Macaca fascicularis: one gene and its partner. The protein of the gene in region 2 interacts with the protein of the main gene of each other region in a biochemical or structural test. Links are inferred from orthologs where the notes say so. Each region holds a gene or a part of one and is shown on either strand. Other genes may lie near its edges.

Region 1 (3,500 bases), on a different chromosome or scaffold from region 2:
AGTATGCCTTATCAGAACAGACCTTCTTTCCTTTTGTTTTTAAGATCAGTAACTATATGGTGGTACATAAGCACAAATTGTACATGTGTATATTATACTGTAATTGATGGGGATGACTTTTTAAATCCTCTGGCTATAAAATAATTCTGCCAGGTCACAGTGGCTCACACCTGTAATCCCAGCACTTTGGGAAGCCAAGGCAGGTGGATCACCTAAGGTCAGGAGTTTGAGACCAGCCTGACCTACATGGTGAAACCCTGTCTCTACTAAAAATACAAAATTAGCCAGCACAGTGGCACATGCCTATAATCCCAGCTACTTGGTAGGCTGAGGCAGTAGAATCACTTGAACCTGTGAGGTGGAGGTTGCCGTGAGCTGAGGTCGCACCGTTGTACTCCAGCCTGGGCAACAAGGGCAAAACTGCATCTCAAAAAAAAAAAAAAAAAACTGACTATGCAAGTTTTTTTTAAATGAGATTTAATGTTTAGTTGCCGGTATAGATTTGCATTTGGAGGTGCTTTTTTCCCCTGCTGGAGGACTAGGCAATTTTTATATTATTTCATTCGATTATCAGAACTTTTAGAGAAATGGAATCATATACTTAACGGTGATTATTCTTGGCCATAGAATCACACCCTGTCACACTTTGGGCCTTTGTTTCTCTTGGACTGACAGCACTCTAATTGGTTTTCTAAGAGCTACCAGCCCCCTTTTTCATTTAGTGTCACTACTCATTTTTCCTTTTCAGGGAATGTATCTTAGGAAACAGCTAACGATAAATACAGAGGTTATCCTGAGTTTTACTAGTTCTCAGTTCTTAAGTATAGACTTCTTTCTCTACAGGTTTGCGTCACTGGTTGCTGTTTATGTTGTTGGGGGGTTCCTATACCAGCGACTGGTGGTGGGAGCCAAAGGAATGGAGCAGTTTCCTCACTTAGCCTTCTGGCAGGATCTTGGAAATCTGGTAGCAGTAAGTAACAGGGCAGCTGGTTGAATTTGTAGCCTGCAAACAAGGCTGGGTGACCAACCATCCTGGTCTGCTCACACTGAGGGGGTTCCTGGGACACAGGACATGGAGTGCTAAAACCACAAAAGTCCCAGTAAACAAGACGGTTGCCCTAGTACAAAGTAGTAAGTGGCATAGCATCCGTTTCTGGCCTTGGTAAGAAATTGCTGAAAGAGCAACACTGTTGATGACCAGGTGGGCTCTTCTAAATCTGATTTAGCTTTTAAGTGGGCCTGGGTGGGAAGAAGGGAAGGCCTAAGAAGAAACTTTTTCTCCTGTTGTCCCAAATTGAATTTAGGCTGATTGTCACATCTTTTAGGTTTTCTCATTATCCCTGTAGAAAACCAATTCTTGCCACATTCCTAGACCATAAGTACATTTTTCTCATAACCTAAAGTTGGATGCTCCAAATTATTATTATTTTTTTTCTCCCCTACAGGATGGCTGTGACTTTGTCTGCCGTTCTAAACCTCGAAATGTGCCTGCAGCATATCGTGGTGTGGGGGATGACCAGCTGGGGGAGGAGTCAGAAGAAAGGGATGACCATTTATTACCAATGTAGATTGCACTTTATATGTCCAGCCTCTTCCTCAGTCCCCCAAACCAAAGCTACACAGCCAGATTTCTCAAGCAGTCTCAACTCCAGTCTCTCATCTCACCCTTACTATTGCTCTTGCTTTCCAGTTTGCTTTTGATTTGCATCTTCTCACTAGTAAAACTGCCTTCCCTTTGTTCCTTATTTTCTGTTTTTTCTCTAGCGAGGTACAGTTGTAAGTCAGACTTAATATTAATAGGGCCTGTGAAAACAGGCTTTTGCATTGTCTCTTGACATCACAAGGTACAACAGGCATATGGGCAAAATGGTGTGGCAGGCTCACTGGCCCTTTGTTTTTTAAACACATTTTCACAAGTTTTTGAGACACTGGATTTCTTTAATTAAAAAAAAAATGCCAAGAAACATTATTTATACAGGTTTGATTGCTTTCATGTTGTTATTCTGTACCCTATAGTAGTCTCCATGAGAATCTGGTATTTCTTGCTGCTTGGAACTACTTTGCAGTGATTACTTGGTTGCAGTCCAAGTACTCTCATTTAGTCTGAGCCTGGAGATGTTCTAGACTTGCTTCTCCCACCTCTGGGATTAGGACAGGAAAAATGTGAAATTTCCCTTTACAGGATTATACGGTACCATCACATCATTTGTGGAAATTGGGGTAACTGTATAGCTGGGATTGGGCCATGGATTGTGGTCTTATCTGTCCATATACAGCCAAAATGCCTATCCAGAAATCCAGTCCACTGGAAAGGAAAATTGGAACTCCTGTGCCACAGGGGTTCCAGAAAAGGGAAGTCACTTTACCTTGCGGTGGTGGGATCCTGATGTCTTTCTTCCATTTGTAGTAAAAGCTGGTAAAGCTTTTCTTACTCCTGGTTCCCTATACCAGTATTTCTAAACGTGTCGCACTTTCTCCACAGGCATGTGGTTTTGACCTTTTTTTCAATCTTCTGGAAAGGGAATGGAAGCAGAAGTGGGACATCGAGGGCTCTGCTGTCCTCTGCGCTGGGTGTGGAATGCTGCTGCACCTGTCCCTTCTGCTGGCTCAGGGAAGTGTCTTCTTGCCCACATTTCTGTGGGGAAAGGTTTTTAATCCTCCGATGCTTCCATGTTCCTGTTTAGGCCATGTGCCCAGAAACCTGGACTGATCTTTCTGTAATAGTGAACCCCTGGGCCACTGAAGAGTAATATGGCTCCACTGGACACAAAAGAGGAATGGAATCAATAGGCAGGGGGCCTTTTCTAAGCCTTAGGAAAAGAAAATGAAACTATTTCATCTTTGGACTTTTCAATACTATTGGAGTGATTTTTTCTTTCTAAACAGGGAAAATAATGTTACAAAAGCATCTTTTTTGTTATTTGTTTGCATCCCTCCCCCCCCACACCCTGGTGTTTTAAAATGAAGAAAAAAAAACATCACTTTTTGTACAAAAACTCGTAATGATTAAAAAAACAAACAAAACATATTGGCCTAGTCATTTGTGTGAACGTGGGCAAAGACTGGAATAGAGTAAGACAACTGAAACCGATTTTCATCCTTTTACTGAGGAAAAAAATATTTAATATTTTTGTTGTATAAGGAATAGTGCCTAAGGCAGGTACTTATACTCCTGACCTTAGCCCCACGCACTCTGGTTTTATACAGCTATAGGACAGAGCAGAGTTGGAACTGAAAAATAGGGTACAAAATAACAAATTGGAGGGGAACAGTGGGATGCAGAAAGAATGAGCAGCCACATATGCCCCAGTCAAATACTTTTAGTCCCTGCAGCATAAGAAAGATGCCAATCAAGTCTCTACACTGGCTGGGGATCCTGCCGGGAGAAAAGATTCAATCACAAGGGAGTAAGTGACAACAAAGAGAAAACTCTGAGCCACAGCTACACTGGCAGAGGGCGTACCAGATTTTGCTACTTGTGTCACACAAGCTAGAAAAAC
Region 2 (4,097 bases):
CACCTCCCAGGTTCAAGCGATTCTCCTGCCCCAGCCTCCCGAGTAGCTGGGATTACAGGCATGCACCACCGCGTCCGGCTAATTTTTTGTAGTTTTAGTAGAGATGGGGTTTCACTATGTTGGTCAGGCTGGTCTTGAGTGCCTGACCTTGTGATCCACCCGCCTCAGCCTCCCAAAGTGCTGGGATTACAGGCGTGAGCCACCGCACTCGGACGTGTTTTTTTTTTGTTTTTTTGTTTTTAGTAGAGATAGGGTTTCGCCATATTGCCCAGGTTGGTCTTGAACTCCTGAGCTCAAGGGATCTGCCCCCCTTGGCCTCCCAAACTGCTAGAATTACAGGCGTGAGCCACCGCACCCAGTCAAAATGCAGGCTTTTTTTTTGAAAGTGAGATAACATGCCTGCCTGCACTGCAGAGCTATGAAGCCCAGGTCAGGGGTATGGGGAGGACGGGGCTCCCCAGGTGAGTCTATGCAAGTGGGATGAAGCCACAACCCCGTTTTCCTGCACAAGTGAGATAAAGCAGGGACACCATCATCAGATGAGGTTCTCAGGGGAAAGCCAGGAGTCCCAGCTCCACCTATGCTGTGCTCCCTGGAGCAAGTCACCTTCCCCTTCTCTGGCCTCGGTCATCTCACCTGTAATATGAGGATAAAGGGTCGGGCACAGGCCTGTAATCCCAGCACTTTGGGAGGCTGAGGCGAGTGGATCACTAGGTCAGGAGTTCGAGACCAGCCTGGCCAACATAGTGAAACCCCATCTCTAAATATACAAAATTACATACAAAATTACGAAAATTAGGCACGGGTATGGTGGCAGGCACCAGCTACTTGGCAGGTACCAGCTACTTCGGAGGCTGAGGCAGGACAATTGCTTGAACCTGGGAGGCAGAGGTTGCAGCGAGGCAAGACCACACCACTGCACTCCAGCATGGGTGACAGAGGAAGACTCCATCTCAAAAAAATATGTGGCTAAAGGTCATGCCTGCCTTATGGGATGCTTTCCCGGGGAATTCTGGTGTGAGCCTAAGAACCTGTGGCCTTGACTCTGAGCATCTTTTCCAGAGGAATGAGGCCCCGCCTCCTGGTGGCCTTGCTTTGATGTCCCCTAAGCAGAACTCAGCAAAATGATGTTTTGGGAGCACTGGATCTGGAGTCCAGATTGGGTTCTCTTTTTGTTTTTGTTTTTTCTTTGAGATGGAGTCTTGCTCTGTCACCCAGGCTGGAGTGCAGTGGCGCAATCTCAACTCACTGCAACCTCCGTCTCCCAGGTTCAAGGGATTCTCCTGCCTCAGCCTCCAGAGTATCTGGGATTACAGGCGCCTGCCACCAGGTCCAGCTAATTTTCATATTTTTAGTAGCGGTGGGGTTTCACCATGTTGACCAGGCTGTTCTCGAACTCCTGACCGCAAATGATCTGCCCACCTCAGCCTCCCAAAGTGCTGGGATTACAGGCGTGAGTCATCGTGCCCAGTCCAGAGTGGGTTCTAATCCCAGTTTGGCAACTCACTAGGAATAGGAGTTTGGGCAGGCAGCATTCCCTAGGAGCCTTGCTTGCCACATCTGTGAAATGGGTATAAGTTTCACAAGAGCCTGGAGTCCCTGTGGACTGGAGGAGACACTGCTCCGGGGAAGCTCAGCTCCATGCCTGGCACATAGTAAGAGCTCCATAAACCATCTCACCGCACTCTGGCTTCCACGGACAAAGGGGTACAGCCAGCCAGGAACCAGCTTCCTGCTAGGTACAAAAAACCCCCAACTGGGAAGTCAGGTGAGAAGATATACCTACCTCCCAGTGATCACTGCCTAAATCTATTCTTCTCACCTCCTTCGGAGCCTGAGCTCACCTGGGCAGGCGGCCAGGTAGGCAGGCATCAAAGTCCTGGCCTCGACAGATTCCCAAGTCCCACTTAGGACTCAGGCAGCTTCCTCCCGTCCCCTCTGTCCACCATGACTTTCTGGAACTGGTTAAAGCAAGGGTGGCCACTGCAGATGTCAACGCCCTATGAAACCCCTGGGGGTCAGTGACCTGCCTTGCCGCTGGCTCCAGAAGGGGAGTTTCAGGCCAGACCCAGTCATCCAGCAACTTCAGGGCATGCTAAGACTGGACTTCAAAAATTCCAAGAGCCCCAGGTCCCACCGCTAGGCCCAGCCGGGACAAGAACCCCAAAGCAGTTAAGGGGTAGGCCTTCCTACTTTCAAGCCATCTCGCCGCCACGCCCACCCGAGGGAAGCGGGCAGGATTCGCCCAAGACCTCCCCAGAAGCAGTTGGGGGCGCCAGGAGCCGGGGCAACCCCCCTTCCAACGCCCGTGGCGAAACCATCTGGAGGGGAGGCGGCTTTACGGTGGCGAGGGGTGTCTCTGAAGACCCCGGAAGGGAGGGCGAAGTTTCTGCCTGCAGGAGGAAACTTACCTGCAAATTGCGTTTCCAAAAGCAAGCAAACTGATCACAATTTAGAGAAAACCGGACGGGGGCGGTATTTAGCCCACCTCCCTCAGTATCTTTCGACCCTCAAAAGTCCCAGGAAGTGAGAAGAGGGTTTCAAAGTTCAAGCTCCGTTGCAGACGTTGGATTTTTCTGGGGGGAGGGGTGACCAGCCTGGGCTGAAGACCCCTCCCCAGGCCGCAGAGTCCAGCAAATCCCACCCCGAGAAAGGCCCTCCCCGACCCCTCCGCCCCTGGGGTGCCCCAGGACTCGGTGGACACCGCCCCCCAGCTCAACTGAGGGACCCCCGCCACTCACCGCGGTCAACTGGACGTCCCAGGCACAATAACTGCGGCTTCCAGACCAGCCTTGAAACCGTCAGGGCCGGGGCGGGGCTGGCTTTTACTGCACGGTGGGTTGGGGGCGCAAGGGAGTGACGGGCGAGAGAACCAATCAGGTTGAGGGAATGCCTGCGCCAGGCCCGCCCCTCTCCTCCCTAGCCCGCCTCCACTAGGCCCCGCCCCTCGCCAAGTCACTTAAGAAGTACGCGAAGGACTACACGCCCTGAAGGGGAGGGGGCACTCCTGGACCACGCCTGTCCCAGTCACGGGACCCCCCGCTCCGCAGCTGGGGACCCTATGAAGTTGGCCCTGGGAGGTGAGTGCGATCGGGGCGCCGCACGGGTGCTGGGATTCCCTAGGTCGCCCATTTCCCCTATGGCCAAACTGAGGCTGCTAGAACCCCAGGAGAGTTGCAGGGTGACCTTCGCCAGCGCGTCAGGCGCCAGGCCCTCCACCATGGGCTGCAACCCAGCTATATATATATACATACACACCCTTTTTTTTTTTCGAGACGCAGTCTCGCTCTGTCATTAAGGCTGGAGTGCAGTGGCATGACCTTGGCTCACTGCAGCCTCCACCTCCTGGGTTCAAGAGATCCTTCTGCCTTAGCCTCCTGAGTAGCTGGGGTTACAGACACGTGCCACCAGGCCTGGCTAATTTTTGTATTTTTGGTAGAGACGGGGTTTCACCATGTTGGCCAGGCTGGTCTCGAACTCCTGACCTCAAGGGATCTGCCCGCCTGGGCCTCCCAACGTGCTGGGATCACAGGTGTGAGCCACCGCACCCGGCCCAACCCAGCTATATGAGCGACTTGAACCACCACAGGGAACTCATCCAGCCTCCAGCCCGACCTGCCCAGCATCAGACCTCCCAACACTATATTGACTTTTTATCATCCCTGTTTTGTGGAGGAGGAAACTGAGGCCTGGAGAGGGTCAGCCAGGGGCAAGGCAGCCGTCAGGTTCCAGGCTCTGTGACTGCTGGATCAACCTCTTCCTGAAGCTGCCTCTGCCTGGATTTTACCCCGCCCCTCTCCACCACCCAAATTCTTTATCTTCTTGGTCTATAAACCAAGGTCTCAATCTCAGATGGCCCTAGGGGACAAGGAGGAGATGAATATTTCTGCTGAGGAGGTGGCAGTGATGCTCTGCTTAGAGGGGCAGGGGAGAGCAGTGTCCTATGGGAGACCCACCTGGGGAGTCACAGATCCACAGGAAGTTCAAGCCGTAGACATGTCCTGCCTGTTAGGGAACAACAGGGGCTGTGTCCAGTCCAGGGGCCACCGGTTTGCCACTTCTGCTAAATTATTTGAATAGAATGAAGCTTCTGGTAG

What was found.
Region 1: the proteins of PLIN3 (region 2) and M6PR form a complex in vitro, tested with the Homo sapiens proteins (2 studies listed by BioGRID). The link is inferred for Macaca fascicularis from reciprocal best matches to the Homo sapiens genes PLIN3 and M6PR.

What each region holds. Positions count from the first base shown.
Region 1 is NC_088385.1:11,995,768-11,999,267, forward strand, and holds the end of M6PR (cation-dependent mannose-6-phosphate receptor), read left to right. Parts: intron 1-843; coding exon 844-970; intron 971-1,445; coding exon of another isoform or gene 1,446-1,568; exon of another isoform or gene 1,569-2,482; coding exon 2,483-2,710; 3' UTR 2,711-3,024; downstream 3,025-3,500. UniProt on the Homo sapiens protein: Transport of phosphorylated lysosomal enzymes from the Golgi complex and the cell surface to lysosomes.
Region 2 is NC_088393.1:5,639,362-5,643,458, forward strand, and holds the start of PLIN3 (perilipin-3), read right to left. Parts: upstream 2,801-4,097; 5' UTR 2,412-2,800; intron 1-2,411. UniProt on the Homo sapiens protein: Structural component of lipid droplets, which is required for the formation and maintenance of lipid storage droplets. Required for the transport of mannose 6-phosphate receptors (MPR) from endosomes to the trans-Golgi network.